Linked DNA regions of Struthio camelus. The protein of the gene in region 1 purifies or fractionates together with the protein of each later gene. This does not show direct contact. Links are inferred from orthologs where the notes say so. Each region holds a gene or a part of one and is shown on either strand. Other genes may lie near its edges.

Region 1 (6,821 bases):
AAACCAATTTCTTCACTTTGATTCTTTTGATGGAAATTAGAAAAAAATGTGGAATGGGCCTCAGTATAGGCACCAATAACTTCTAAAATCACAGTTAGCCTCATGACAAATACTAGTGCTTAAAAACTCTTTGGCACAAAATGCCAATGCAATTATATAACCTGATCTTCAATTTTCACATTAAACTAATATGCGGGAAGTGGTAAAGAAGCTCTGGATGAATATCTGACGCCTTAGAGGATTATATTTCTCAGTGAAACAGAACATGGTAGATCCTGTAGAGGTAAGTATACAAAGGGCCTGATCCGTCAGTGACTTGCATCTGGTGAAGTGATTTATACCTGAACAAAGTGAGTGCAGAGTGCTACCTTATTTATCAGTGAGAACCTTGGTCAGCATGGAGATGATACACCAGGGGATATTTTATTTCCTTTAGAAAAGAAAGAAGTGCTAAGGTCAGCAAAGTACAAATGTCTGAAAACCCTGGATTATACAGGGTTTATACGCAACTCTTATTCCTGAAGCTGCGGTAAGTATTTGAAATTGCCTGCTCATCGCTGTTACTGAGTTTCATGTAGCTGTAGTTAATGGCAGGACTAATGAATGTACTTGGCAAAAATTGTGACTACTGCAGAGACCTGAGGGTTCCTATTACATCTTCCCTCTGACCTCTTTTGTTTGTAAACAGAGGATAGAATGAAATGGTTTAAGACACCTTGTCTGCCCCGCTTTGGTCATGGTTTCTGGAACTGGTGCTGCCATTGACACAGAGGGACTTTCTTGTCATAAAGGTTTTCAGTCTGCCTATGGGATATGAGAAGGGTGTATAAGTGAGGGGCTAATATTGAAAGGCATCCTGTGAGTCAAAAAGGGATTTCAAAAGGAGTAAAGAGCCTGTGTCGTTTAGCATGTGAAGAATTATGTGGAATAATTTTTGTATTTGAATGTAGGGATTAAGTACAGCTTTATATTCACTACAGCTCTCAAATACGAGCCTTTCTTTACACAGAAAAGATGTGAGATTTTTACTTTATTTTTTGTCTTGCCTGCTAAGGCCGAGTAGGTATGTTATATGTAATCGCATATGGGAGAAGGTCAGTATTACCCTCATAAGGAGATGTGCCAAGTGCTTGTTTTTCTTGAGCCTGAATACCTCATCTGTTCCAGAAAACTAAGCTTTTCTAACTTGACCCTTCTGTAAGTGTGCAAGATACTACAAGGCAATTTTAACTCTATGTTCAGAGAATCTGTTGCCACTGAGTTTCGGAGGCTGCTTTAATGGACATAATTTCTTTTTGTAGGTAATGAAGGTTGTTATAGGCAATTGTAGTTATTAATGCAGCTTTGTATTTGGGGTGTTGTTGTGCTTCAATACAAGCACAGACTGCTATATGTGTTTCCTAGGTGATTCTTTCCTCTCCTGTATACTTTGTGATAATGAAATTAAGGTATTCATTATGCTTAGAAATATTTGGAATTGTTGAGGGCAGGGAGAAAAATCACAGAATTCAGACACAACCCATTTACCAAGTGGTAACAAGTTGTTGCAGGTTAGCTGATCTCTGGTAACTATGTATGTGCACACTCTTAGCCTGCAGCCTATGCAGAAGAAATTCAAGTTGGTTTAGCCCTTAAGGTAAAGTTAGTCTGACAGTTTGGAAGGGATTACATCTTTGAACGCTTGATCAGATAATTTCCATTTAGCAACATTAGTTCTGCTCATAGCACTGATATGCTGCAGCAACGCTGCAGAGAGAAATGATGCATCTGAGTTATATCAAAGTTTTTATTTAAGCAGGAGTGAGGAAGAAGGAGGTTTCTTTTTGTTCCGTCTTTTGACTTACAGTATCATTTAAAAATGATTAATAGAGTTTGTGCATGGCTTGAATTCTCTAAACTATTTTGGGATGGAAGTCTTCTGTTCTGTGGTTTTCCTGAGTAGCTTAGGCAATGTGACTAACATTTTCCAGTTTGACATCCTTTTTGTGTTCTTCTCTTCAAGTATTCAGTATTTTCAGTGCTGAAATTTCTCTTCACTTCCAGTGATCTCATGAGTTACATAAAGTTGATATTTGTGTCTCATTTTTCATGTTAATCATAATTAACCAAATTGACTGAATTATTTTGGCAGTGCATTAAGTAATGTGAACCTTATGCCAGTTTTTATAATAGGGCTATTTTGGGTGCCCACAGCAACTTCTTTGAACATGCTGATGTTCTGTGCTGCAGCTACTTGCCCTCTCCCTTTTTTTTTTTTAATTACACAGACTTTTTGTTCAAGAACCGATAGGCAGGAATAATGAATCACATTTGAGTTAACCCAGAGTTTTTCATCTCTCTTCAATTTTGACATCCTTAAGAATTTGCCAGTAGTGAAGCATTGTGATAGAAGGGCTGTTTTTCCTTTTTAAGTACCGTTCACCAGTATCTTTGAAGTAGCCCACAGATCTCCAGGACTGGAGTTGAAAACCACTGTATTACCATAATACTGTTTCCTAGCCTTATTTTTCTTTAATTAAAGCTATTTGATTATATTTGCAAATTAAATCTGGATATGCATGTGCATATAACAGTAATGTTAAATACTGATATTAAATCAAGAAACTTTACTCTCTAGAAAAACTTCAAAAGGCAGTGCCAGTGGGAGTGCAGCATTCAGTCATGGAAGCTTGCTAAGGGTATGACTCAAATTTACGATAGCTGAGTTCATTGGCCACAGTATACTACCTTGAAACTCTTTGTTGTTATTGCATCAGCCTCTCTACAGATCGTATTTTGAAGAACAACGCCTTAACGCCACTGCGCACGCACACCTCGTTCTCCTTGGGGCACTGGGCACGTTTGACGTCAACGGTACTCCAAATCTGAACTTTAAGCTCAATCTCCACTTAACAGTTTTTTTTCCCCAATGGGAAATCTAACTGGGATTCATCTTACTTAACTTTAGATATCTATCATTTCTAAGCAAAGTATCCAGGTCTCTTGTTATAGCTGATGCAGATGCAGTCAGTGGAGTCAGTGGTGTTCAGGATACGATTTGCCTGGTGGGTGCAAGCAATGTACTGGATTCTTTGCTTGATTTTCTTCCAATCCTGATATTAGGGATGTCTAACAGGAACATGCTGGGTCTGTCCCCACTGGGAAGATGCAGATACATCTTGGTACTGGCATTGGCAAACGTCTCCCTCTCGCAGTTAGAAATTAGTGTCAACTACCTTGTTAGAAAAGCTTGGAGTGAATTTTTAGACACATACCTGGCAGAGGGTCTGGAGGACTCTGGGGCGTTTGATACATCTACCCACCTTTCAAAAACAATTTCATTCTTCAGCAGACGATGTAGGGATTGGAATACTATCTTTTTTGAAGCAAAGCAAAACCAGCAGTTGATTTTTCATAGAACACTTTAAACCCTTTCTCGAGAACAACATGAGACATGGTTCAGGGGGTTTTGTTTCTGTTTAGCCTTTCCCTCTCGCACCCCCTCCCAGCGCAGGCCTCAAGGCACACACCCGCACTGCGCCCAACCCCCCTGTTCCCGCCGGCTCCCGTCCTCAGCTTTCACACCTGCCTCCTTGGGAACTTCTCCTCCCCTTATTTCAAGCTGGTTTATTAGCTGTAAATCTTCCCTCACAAGCCGATCCCCCTCGCGTCCCTGGGAGCCCCGGCGCAACACCGAGGCCGCGCACCGCCCCGCGCCGGCGGCCGCCACCCCTCCCCGGCCGAGCCGCCGCCACCTCCCCGCTCCGCCGCCGCCGCCCCCCGGCGCCGCAGCGCGCATGCGCTCTGCCGCCACCGCCTCCTCCCCCGGCTTCCTGGCCCCCGCCCGCGCGTTTCCGCCCGGACGCTTTTCCCTGGGCGCTTCCGGTGTTTCGTTTTTCTCTTTCCGGCCGGTGCGGGGGGAAAGATGGCGTCTCGCAAGGAGGGCTCCGGGGCAGCCGGCAGCGGCTTCGGCGCCTCCAAAGGCAAAGGCAAGGCCGCCGCCACGGGGGACTCGGCCGTCAAGCAAGTGCAGATCGACGGGCTGGTGAGCGATGGGGCCGGGGCCGTTGCTGGCGGAGGGGCGAGGCGGGCGGGCCCGCGTGGGGCCGCCGGCGGGGCGGTGCCGGCCGGAGCGCAGCGCAGCGCAGCGCAGCCAGCGGGGGCCCGGGCCCGTCCTGGCGCCGGGGTCGCCGGGGCCACCCGAGCAGCAGGAGCGGTTTCATCCCCCTTCCCCAGCTTCCTGACGCCCGGCCGGTCTCCCCTTGCGCTCCGCCCTGGGGAGGGGGGCGGCTCCGTCCCTTGTGTAAGCGAAGGCAGGGGTGTTAATTGCTCTTCGATATTTTCTTTCTTTCCTCCACTCTCCTGCCATAATATCCCTGGTTTCTGTTTTCACGTTTCACAGCTCAGACTATTGAAAGATACGTAATTATAAGATATGGGGAGCAGGCTGGATTTTTTCAAGGAGCAGTGAAAACTGATGAGTCATGAGATGTAGCCAGCAACTGTAAGCAGACCATAGCGAGGTGGATAGGGGTACGTGTGTGTCTTTTTAAACAAGTTTTAGGGAAGCTTGCGAAAATAAGTTGTTGAGTTCAGGACATAGGTTGGTAGCTTTAATCTTATTTCTGTGGGTGTAAAAGCTGTTTTCTCCCCCCCCCCCCCCCCCCCCATGTGTTCTGGGTTTAATACTGCCTGTTGATTTACCTTTTCTTTTTTTAGTTCGTTTATTAATGAAATAAAGAGAACGGAAGTTTCCAAGCTGTGTTCTCTATCAGATATGTCATCCCCTTTGTGAACTACTGCCCATTCAAGTCAGCTGTCTGTAGTCTCAAAAGGTTTGCTGTTGGACCGCTGTCTAGCAAATGTTTGTGAACGCTTTTTCCTTTATGTGGTTTTTTTCCATGTCCTTGTGTGTTATTCTAATACATGGTGATGTCTCTTACATGGAGCCTGTGGAGGAGAAAGTGGCCCCCCCTTTTAGCTTTGTGTCCACCTGCTAAAGACTTGTGCTGGTGGATCTTACACAGAGCTCTGTCAGGATACTAACTGCGTGGTTCACAAACTTCTGTGGTGCCTGTCGAGAAGAGAAGTCTCAGCATATATTTACTTGCTTTGTAACCAAAGTGACTCCTGTCAAGTCCTCAAAATGTCTTACTGAAGTTCTGCTTAAACTTTTCTAATACCTTCCTGTTTTTAGGGTCTTACCTATGCTCTCATGAAGTGATTGAATCTTTGTTAGTCTTGGCTTGATGGTTACCGGGGTAATTACTTGCCAAAACTTGGGGTGAATTTGGTGGGAGTCAGTGGTCTTTTCATTCCATCTCATGGCGGCACCGTTAGTACAGCTAGAGCTATACATGTCTACCCCGCTTCTTCCACAAGCTGCAAGCAATCCCATAACACAGGCAGTGTCTGCCCCTATCATATGGATGAAGTGGCTCGTAATGATGGCTTTATTTACATCTACATAATGAAACAGTAATAGAACTAGAAAAGAGGCAGTTTGGCTGCTAGATCTGAGTTTTAACTTCTTTTTTCTTCAGAAGAATGAATGAGTGTGGTTAACTAGCATCATTGTGATTTAATTGGTGTTAGTTCAGTGATAATTAAATGAATAGTAATCTTTAACTTCATACTTTTTAATGAAAGTCTATTGAGTTTTACTGTAAATGAAACACAAATGTTGCATCTGAAATATAAATATGAAATACTGTTTTCCTAAATGCAAGCACATCAGTGATAAAAGATTGTTTTTGCAGTACTTAATGTGATCAGTCACGTGTATGGTCGCTAGTGCATTAAAGACTGAGTCAACAATGGTTTTGGTTTCTTCCGGAGTAAAAGTGTACAGTCCTACTACTTCTTTTCATATGGTAGGGATTCTTTTCTGTAGGTAGTGTTATTGTATTAGCCTTTATTAAAGACAGTTTAAATGGTTGCTGTTTCAAGGACTTGTAGGCTAAAACTTGTAGGTGAGCATGACTAATTCTTTCAAGTGGAACTATTTTGAAAGCAAAGACACACTTTATAGGTAACTTTTTGAATCTGCATATATAAAATGGAGATGCATCAATCTTCTGTATATGTCGGAATGCAATAGGACTTTTAGAAAGCCTGTTACATCAGAGGAACAGTAAAATAAAAGACAATAATATTAGTAATGAAGAGAAAAGTTTTAAGTGTCAGTGTGTTAGCTTAAAACATAATAGATAAATGATGATGCAGCAATACTTTACTGGCAGCCTCTTAAATTTGATGCAAGCACACTACTTTGTTAACTTCTTTCTTATTTGAATCTGTTTAATTCCTTATTTTATTACATATTGGTGCAATTTGGATTTAGATCAAGTGCAATTTCGCTTCAGGTTTAACTCCATGAGAATAAATTTAAAAAAAGCACTGTCATGGCAATGCTTTAGAAAAAAGCTAACGATGAGACCCTAACTGGTAAGATGAGCTAATTCCACATAACTTTTTTTACTGTTAATGCTTCTTTAGAGTACTCTACGAAATTACAGCACCAAAACTTCCAAAAGTTTGGGGAGAATTATCTTGCGTTGTAGACATTTAGTATCTTGAATGAAGTACCTGAAGGCTTGTTTATAAAAATGCTTCTGAGATTAAATCTGGACATAGATTTCCCACCTTTGCAGTTTGACAAATATTTTGTAGTCACAGGAAGGAGAGGAAAAATGAATATATCTGTATACTTTTCCATCAGCTTTTCTGCCAGCAGAGTCAAAATCTCAGTTTTCAAATGATATGTAAATATGACTAGCTAATGTGTTTGCATGATGAGCTTTAAAGTATTTTACTCCATGTTTGTTATCCTGAACACTTCA
Region 2 (7,186 bases), on another chromosome or scaffold:
CCCCTGGCCCTGGCGCTTATCTCGGTCTCCAACCCCCGGCTCAACATCCTCGACACCCTCAGCAAGTTCTCCCACGATGCTGACCCTGAGGTCTCCTACAACTCCATCTTTGCCATGGGCATGGTGGGCAGTGGTAAGCCTGGGGGGAAGCTTGCCTGCGACCCCTGCTTGGGGTGTCTGTGTGCTCACAGCAGGGGGAAGGGCAGCCACCATTCCTCTGGCTCTCGCGCTAGTCTGTCAGCACTAGCTGGGAATGCTGCCCAGGTACTTTGCTGATCAGAGGGCTGGACGAGGCCTTTCGGGTGGAGGGAACTGGGCTTGCTGGAAGCTGCGTGTTTGCCTGTCCCAGGGTTTGTGGCTGGATGCCCTGCACCCTGAGGAGGGGAAAGCGGAAAACTAGGGCCGTGGTGGCTGTGTTCCCTGATCTCTATCTGCACCTCCTCTTCTCCAGGTACCAACAATGCCCGGCTAGCAGCAATGCTGCGGCAGCTTGCCCAGTACCACGCCAAAGACCCCAACAACCTCTTCATGGTGCGGCTGGCCCAGGTGAAAATCCCACACTTGCTGCTTGTGGAGGGGAAGGGGAGGTTGGGGTGGCTGTCCTGTGCGTTGGAGGGGAGTGCTGTCCCTGGGCTGTCACCCCCTTGGCTGGCAGGTCTGGGGGGTCCCAGGCGCTGCCTAACAGCTCTCTCTCATGCTTTCTCTACCCCATCAGGGGCTGACCCACCTGGGCAAGGGGACGCTCACCCTGTGCCCCTACCACAGCGATCGCCAGCTCATGAGCCAGGTGGCTGTGGCTGGGCTGCTGACTGTCCTTGTGTCCTTCCTGGACGTGCGCAACAGTGAGTACTGTGGGGCCGCCCCCCTTCCTGCCACCCCTCTGCTCCGTGGGATGGGCTCTGCCCTGACCCTTACGTCTTCCTTCCAGTTATCCTGGGCAAGTCCCACTACGTTCTCTATGGGCTCGTTGCTGCCATGCAGCCCCGCATGCTGGTCACCTTTGACGAGGAGCTGCGACCTCTACCTGTATCGGTTCGGGTAGGACAGGTAAGGGGGCAGCCAGAGCCTGGGACAGGGTGCTTGGGGGTCCCTGTGTGTTCTTGGCCTTCATCTCGCTCCTCTCTTGCAGGCTGTGGATGTGGTGGGCCAGGCAGGAAAGCCAAAAACCATTACTGGCTTCCAGACTCACACAACACCAGTGCTGCTGGCACATGGAGAGCGGGCAGAGCTGGCCACAGAGGAGCACGTGCCCGTGACACCCATCCTGGAGGGATTCGTCATCCTACGCAAGAACCCCAACTACGATGTTTGAGCTACCGGGGAATGGGGATAGGGTGGGGGACAGGACGCGGGGCAGGTGGTTGGGGTGGGGGGGGGGGAGAAGGTGATTTGTTTGTTACTGTGATTTGAGGAAATAAACTATGCGGAGACTCTGGTGCTGCCATGCTGTCCCTGCACAGGAGGCACAGGATGGGCTCTCATCCCCTCTGCCCTGGCCAGACTGGGTACACTGCAGTGAGGCCATGTCCATGTTAAGCCTGGAGCCCTGAGCTGATGCAGGCCAAGATCTTCCCCCAGCCGGAGCAGGGAAGAATAGGCTCCTTTCCACGGAGCCCTAGCCAAGTCTCCCTTAGAGGGACACTGTGGCGCTGGAGCAGGTTCGGACCCCCTTAAAGTTACCCTTTCTCTGCTGCTTCTGCCAGGATGGACAGTGATGGGCAGCTCCCCGGGTTCTGCTGGGCCCTTGGGTAGCTGATGCTCTCAGAGGCTGGGTGCAGTGCAGGCCCCAAGAGGCAGGAGGTGAAGGCAGAGAGCCCCTGTGAGCTCGCCCTGCCCCCACGGGGGGCTGCAGGCGTGCAAGTTCCCAGACTGGTGTGGGTCTCGGCCTTGTTAGGCCGTGGCCTTGTTCCGGCTCCTGTTTCTCCTTGCCCTGTGTGTGTCCGTGCCTGCACGGTGCCCTGGGCGCGTGTGGCCGGTGCGGCAGGGCGTGCCTGCGTGGCACCCACGCCGGCGTTGTGCAACTTCCCTTCCCCCCCGCGCCTGCGTCAGCACAGACTCCCTGTCCCGTGGTGAGGTGGGTGTCTGGCACTGCCTGTCCTGAGCTGGGCCTCTCGTCATGTGGAGTCTCTGCTGGCTGATAGTGGGGCTCAACTGCTCCCTGGGGTGCGCTGGGCTGTTGCCGGCTTTCGGTGCAGCTCGTAGGAGTGCAATTCCTTTGGAGCCCTCGTGGGACCAGGATCAGGGTTCAAATAACTCTTGGGGCAAGCTGAAGGAGATGGGGTGGGGGGAGTTTCTTAAGAAAGAGAGGAAAACCCTAAGCTGTTTCTCAAAATACTGGTACCACCACCCTGCCACACCAAGCAGGGTGCCCTGTCCTGCTGCCTGGCGAGCTGCGCGCTTCCCCGATGCCTGGGGGTCCCGCAGCTCAGCTGGGCCTCTTCGCAGAGTGGGGGCTATGGCCTGGGTGCCTGGGACTGCTGGTGCTCAAGGGGACAAAGGGGACCTGCTGGCTGTCCCCTGCAGGTGCCTGGCACTGCCCCAGCGTCCCAGCCCTGCGTCAGCCTCTGGGGACAGTGTGGCTGGATCCTGGGGACATCTCTAGCCAGGGCCTGGCTTTGTGCTGCTGCGTGTCAGCATCCTTCTGTCCTCCCTTGGCTCAGGTCCCAACCCCGGGGGCACCCGCCACCCTCCCCGAGGAGGGGTGGGGGCCTCGTCACCCGCAGACCTGCTGCTGTGCCCCACGCAGGGCAGCAGGAGTGAGGCCAGGCCTGGAGGGTGCTCGGCACCCTGCTGGGGCCTGGGATCCTGTGGGGCCGGCGCGAGGGTGCAGAGAGGTTGGGTATGGTGTGCTGGGCTTCGTGTGAGGCCTGAGGGGTGCAGGGTTGGGTGCTGGCACTGGGCCCCAGGGGTGGGCACAGGGTATTGTGTCCCATGTCCCAGGTGCAGGGTGTGGGGGTGCTGTGTCCCACCCCAGAGGGTTAGGGTGGTGGGTGCAGGATGGGTGCCAGCTGCAGGAGTGCTGGGTGCGATGTCCCAGGCACGAGGGTGGGTGTAGGGTGGTGGGTGCAGTGCTGTGCAGCGCCGGGGTGGTAGGTGGGTGCAGGGTGGGCACGGGGGGAGGTTGGCTGGAAAGCTGGTTGGTGGGTACGTGCAGGGTGCTGGGCCCTAGCCTGCGGGGTGCAGGGTTGGTGCTGGCTGCAGCGTCCCAGGGATGGATGCAGTCTGGGTGCTCTCTCCAGGGGGTGCAGGGTGAGTGCAGGACGCTGTTTCTGGATGCAGGATGGGTGCAGGGTGCAGACAGGACGTCCTGTCCTGAGGGGTGCAGGGTGGCTGCAGGATGGGAACAGGGGAACGGAGGGCACAGGAGGGGTGCTGGGTGCCATGTCCCACGGGGTGCTGCAACCGGAGAAGTGTTGGGTGGGTGCTGTGTCCCACAGCGTGCCGGGGGAATGCTGGGTTGATGCTGGGTGGGTGCTGGATCCCGGTGGGTGCCGAGTGGGGTGTCCTGTAAGGGGCCGAGTCGGTGCTGGGTGCGGTGTCCCACAGGGGGCCAGGATGATGACGGGTGGGTGCCAGGTATGGTGTCCCACGGGGACTGGGTGGGTGCCGCATGGGTGCCCGGTGGGGTGTCCTGCGGAGGCTGGGTGCGGTGCCGCGTGGGTGCCGGGAGCGGTGTCCCGCAGGGGCCGGATGGGATGTCCCGCGGAGGCGTGCGATAACGGGTGCGGTGCCCGGTGGGGTGTCCTACGGGGGGCCGCGTGGGTGCAGGGTGGGATGTCCCGCGGAGGCCGGTCGGTGCCGGGTCGGTGCCGGGTCGGTGCCGGGCGTGGTGTCCAAGGGGGGCCGCGTGGGTGCCGGGTCGGTGCCGGATGGGGTGTCCCGCGGGGGGGCCGGGTGCAGTGCCGCGTGGGTGCCGGGTGCCGCGGCGGCGCCGCCACGTGCTGCCGCACGGGGGACCGGGGCGGCGGGCGTGGCCACGGCGGCGGGCGTGGTTTACGGCGGGAAGGGGCGGTCCCACGCGGGCCCCGCCGCGGCGGCGAGGGCGGGGCGCGTACCCGGCCCCGCCCCGTCACGTGACGGGGCGAGGGGGCGGGGGGGAGCGGGCCCGGCGCGCCGGCGTCACGTGCGGCGGGGCGGCGCCCAGACAGGCTTCAGGCGGCGGCAGCGGCGGCCGCCTCCCGCCCCTCCCCCCGCGGCGGCGGCGCGTGGCCCCGCCCCTGCGCGCGGCGCGGCTCCGGAAATGGTCGTGCTGCGCTGCGCTGCGGCTGCGTCGGGCCGCGCGCGCTGAAGGAGACTGAAGGTAACCGGGCGGGGGGCGGGGCGCCGCGCCGGGGGGGGGGAGGCGGGGGGGCACCGGCACCGGCCGCCTCCGCCGGGCCCCGCCGCGCCGCGCCGCTCCGCGCGCCGCCGGGCCCCGCCGCCGCCGCCGCCACCACGTGGGCGCCGCCCCGCCGCCGGCCCCCGCCCCTCCCCCACCCGGCGCCCCCGGCCCGGCCCGGCCCGGCCCGCCCGGGCGCCGCCGCTCCGCGCCCACGTGCCGGCCCCGCCGCCGCCCGCCGCCGCCTGCGCACGTGCTCCCGCCGCCGCGCCCCGCTTAGGCCCCGCTGCCGCCGCCCCACGTGGTGCGCGCTCGCCGGGCCCCGCCGCCGCCCCGTCGGCCCGCGCTGCCGGTGCTTCCCGGCGCGCCATGGCGGCGGCCGGCAGTGACACGTGTCCTTGGCAGAGGCCGCCGCCGCCGCGGGGGGGAGCGGGCCCGGCCGGATGCGGCACCGGGCCCGGCCGCCGCGCCGCTCCGGGGGCCGCCGGGCCCGCTGCCGGCGGGGCCGCCGCCGAGGCCTCTTTCCCCCCCAGCCGCGCCCCGGTGCCGGGGCCGGCCCCCAGCGGCGCGGCTGCCGGCGGCCCGGCCGGGGCCCTGCCCGCGCCGCGGGGCCTCCCGGGGCCGGTGTCACGGCGGCCTCGCCGCCCTCCCGCGGGGATGGTGCCGCCCGGCCCGGCCCGGCGGGGCGGCAGCGGGGTCGGGCGGCCCCGCCGGCGAGGCGGCATCGCGGCTCCCCGGAGGCGCCGGCGGGGCCGGTCCGGGGGCTGCGTCAGCCGCCGGCCGCCGCGGCCCGTCCTGCCCCGGGCACTGTCGTCAAACCGCGGGCGGGCGGGCGAACCGCCCCCTGCCCCGGCCTGCCGGAGGGGAGCCCGCGGACGGACCGACCGACGGGCGGCGCCTCCGGAGCGGCCCGGTCGGAGCTGGCACCGGAGTGCGGTCTCGGCCCCTTTGGGCCGGGCTCCGGCCCGTGGCCCCGGAGAGGCCGCTGCCTGGCGGGGCGTCCGCGGGGGCTGCCTGGGGCGGCGCGGGGGCTTCGCCCCGTTCCCGTCCCCAAACGCCCCAGGCGGCGCCTGCCCCGGCCTCGCTCGCTCGCGGCCCCGACGGTCTCGGGCCGGCGGGTCGGGTCGGTCGGCCGCCAGCCCCGGGGACGCCTGGCGGGGCGGTGGGTGGAGCAGGCCCCTCCTGCCCCGCCGGGGGCTCCGGCCGCTCCGAGGCCACGAAAAGGGGCGTCTCGCAGCGCTCGGCGGGCACGGCGGCCCGAGCCAGCAGCTCCCTCCCGTTGCGACCCCCCGCCACCCGCGGCTGCTCCCCTTCCCCTCCCGGCGGAGATCCGTCCCGTTGACGGGCCACCGCCACACCGGGACTTCCCGGATGTTTTATTTGTGCACGTCCGGCCGGGGAGGTTTCCCCGGTGCGAGGAGGGGGCCGGCGGGGGGGTCTGGCGGCACGCGCGCCAGGGTGGCTCGGGGCGCGGGGCCTGGCGCCCGGCGTGCCTGTGGGTGGGGTTTCGGGTGCTCCGGGGCTCGGCGGCTCTGCACTGCAGCACGCCCGGCCATCCCAGCCCAGCCCAACCCAGCCCCGGCGGCCTCGTGCTCCCGGCCGGGCCCCGGCGTCCCCCATGTCTGCGCCGCGGGGCTGTCCTCTCCCAGCGCCGGCAGGTTTGCAGGCTGACTTTTCTCTCCCCCTCCCACCCTCTTTCCCTTTTCTCCCTCTCTCTCTCTCCCCCCTTCTCTCTTTCCTCCTTTCTCTCCAAGTCAGTCGGATGAAAGGTCTCTGCAGGCCCGCTCAGTCGGCCCAGGTTTTTCCCGCGGGGGGGTGAGTATCTAGTTCTCTGCCGGTTGTGCCTGTGCTGGGGGGCCGGGGAAGCTGGGTTTGCCGCCTGTCTGCGCCGAGACTTGTGGCGGGGAGAGCGGTGCGGTTTTGGGAGCATGGCAGTGTCCTGGAAGCGTGGCTGTCCCCAGGAGTTCCCCGCTCCCTTCCCTTCCGTGTTTTTTTTAACCCCCCTCCCCTTTCCTTTTCCAAGTAACTTGTGCCAGCACCAAGCTGTCTTTTTAAAATGGCCCACGCTGCCGCTTCCCAGGGCAGGGCAGGGGCGTCTGGGCACGCGCGGCGGGCGCGCTGGGCGGTGGGGTGCCAGCGCGGGTTCCTGGGGCCCATGCCTGGCACTCAGCGCCCCCGGGAGCCAGGGGACAGGGCGAGCGCTAGGGTGCAGCCTTCTCTGAGGCCTGAAATCGGAGCGGGACTGATCCCTGCCTGGGCTTGAGGCTGGCGGTGTTGGTGTCTGGGGTCCCCCAAAGGCCGTGCAGGCTCTGTGTCCCCCCCCCCCCCCCCCCCCGTGCTGGGGACGTGGCCCTGGGGGTGCAGGGGATGGGGCACCCCATGGCCTGAGGGTGCTGGCAGGCGCCGGGGCAGTAGCGTTGGTGGGATGTGCCCGGCGCTGCCCTGCGGGGGGGCCGGGGGGTGCCCCGCGCCCCAGCCGCAGCCTGCCTGCGGCGCTGGGGGGCCGGCAGGGCTGCGAGCGCTGACGCGGCCGGGCGTCAGGTTACAGGCAGGCACGACGGGCTGCTCCTTCGGGTGGTCCGGCCGGGGAGCGAGCTTGCCCTGGCCGTGGCCGGTGCTCCGAACCGCCGTGGGGGTGAAGGGGGCACCTCCCGGAGCGGGGGGCACCTCTGCTCCTTCCTGCCCAGGCAGCCTTTGCACTGGGGCAGGGAGAGCGGCACCGGGTGCCAAGTCCCGCCTGGGATCTGGCTGGGGTTTGTCAGGGCCGTGGCCCGAGGGGAGAGCCCGGAGGGTGCCTGGGCTCCCCTGGCACGTGGGTGCTGGCAGCCAGGGTGGCAGTGCCAGCCCCTGGGGGGGGCCGTGGGCCCC

Evidence for each region. The genes of interacting proteins can lie anywhere in the genome.
Region 2: the proteins of EIF3H (region 1) and EIF4G1 purify together in Homo sapiens (affinity purification with mass spectrometry; 4 studies listed by BioGRID). This does not show direct contact. The link is inferred for Struthio camelus from reciprocal best matches to the Homo sapiens genes EIF3H and EIF4G1.

What each region holds. Positions count from the first base shown.
Region 1 is NC_090943.1:157,389,308-157,396,128, reverse strand, and holds the start of EIF3H (eukaryotic translation initiation factor 3 subunit H), read left to right. Parts: upstream 1-3,819; 5' UTR 3,820-3,904; coding exon 3,905-4,024; intron 4,025-6,821.
Region 2 is NC_090950.1:22,673,511-22,680,696, forward strand, and holds the start of EIF4G1 (eukaryotic translation initiation factor 4 gamma 1), read left to right. Parts: upstream 1-4,174; 5' UTR 4,175-4,300; intron 4,301-6,072; exon of another isoform or gene 6,073-6,133; intron 6,134-7,186. Other genes in the region: PSMD2 (26S proteasome non-ATPase regulatory subunit 2), read left to right, coding at 1-133, 452-546, 716-842, 929-1,047, 1,130-1,312.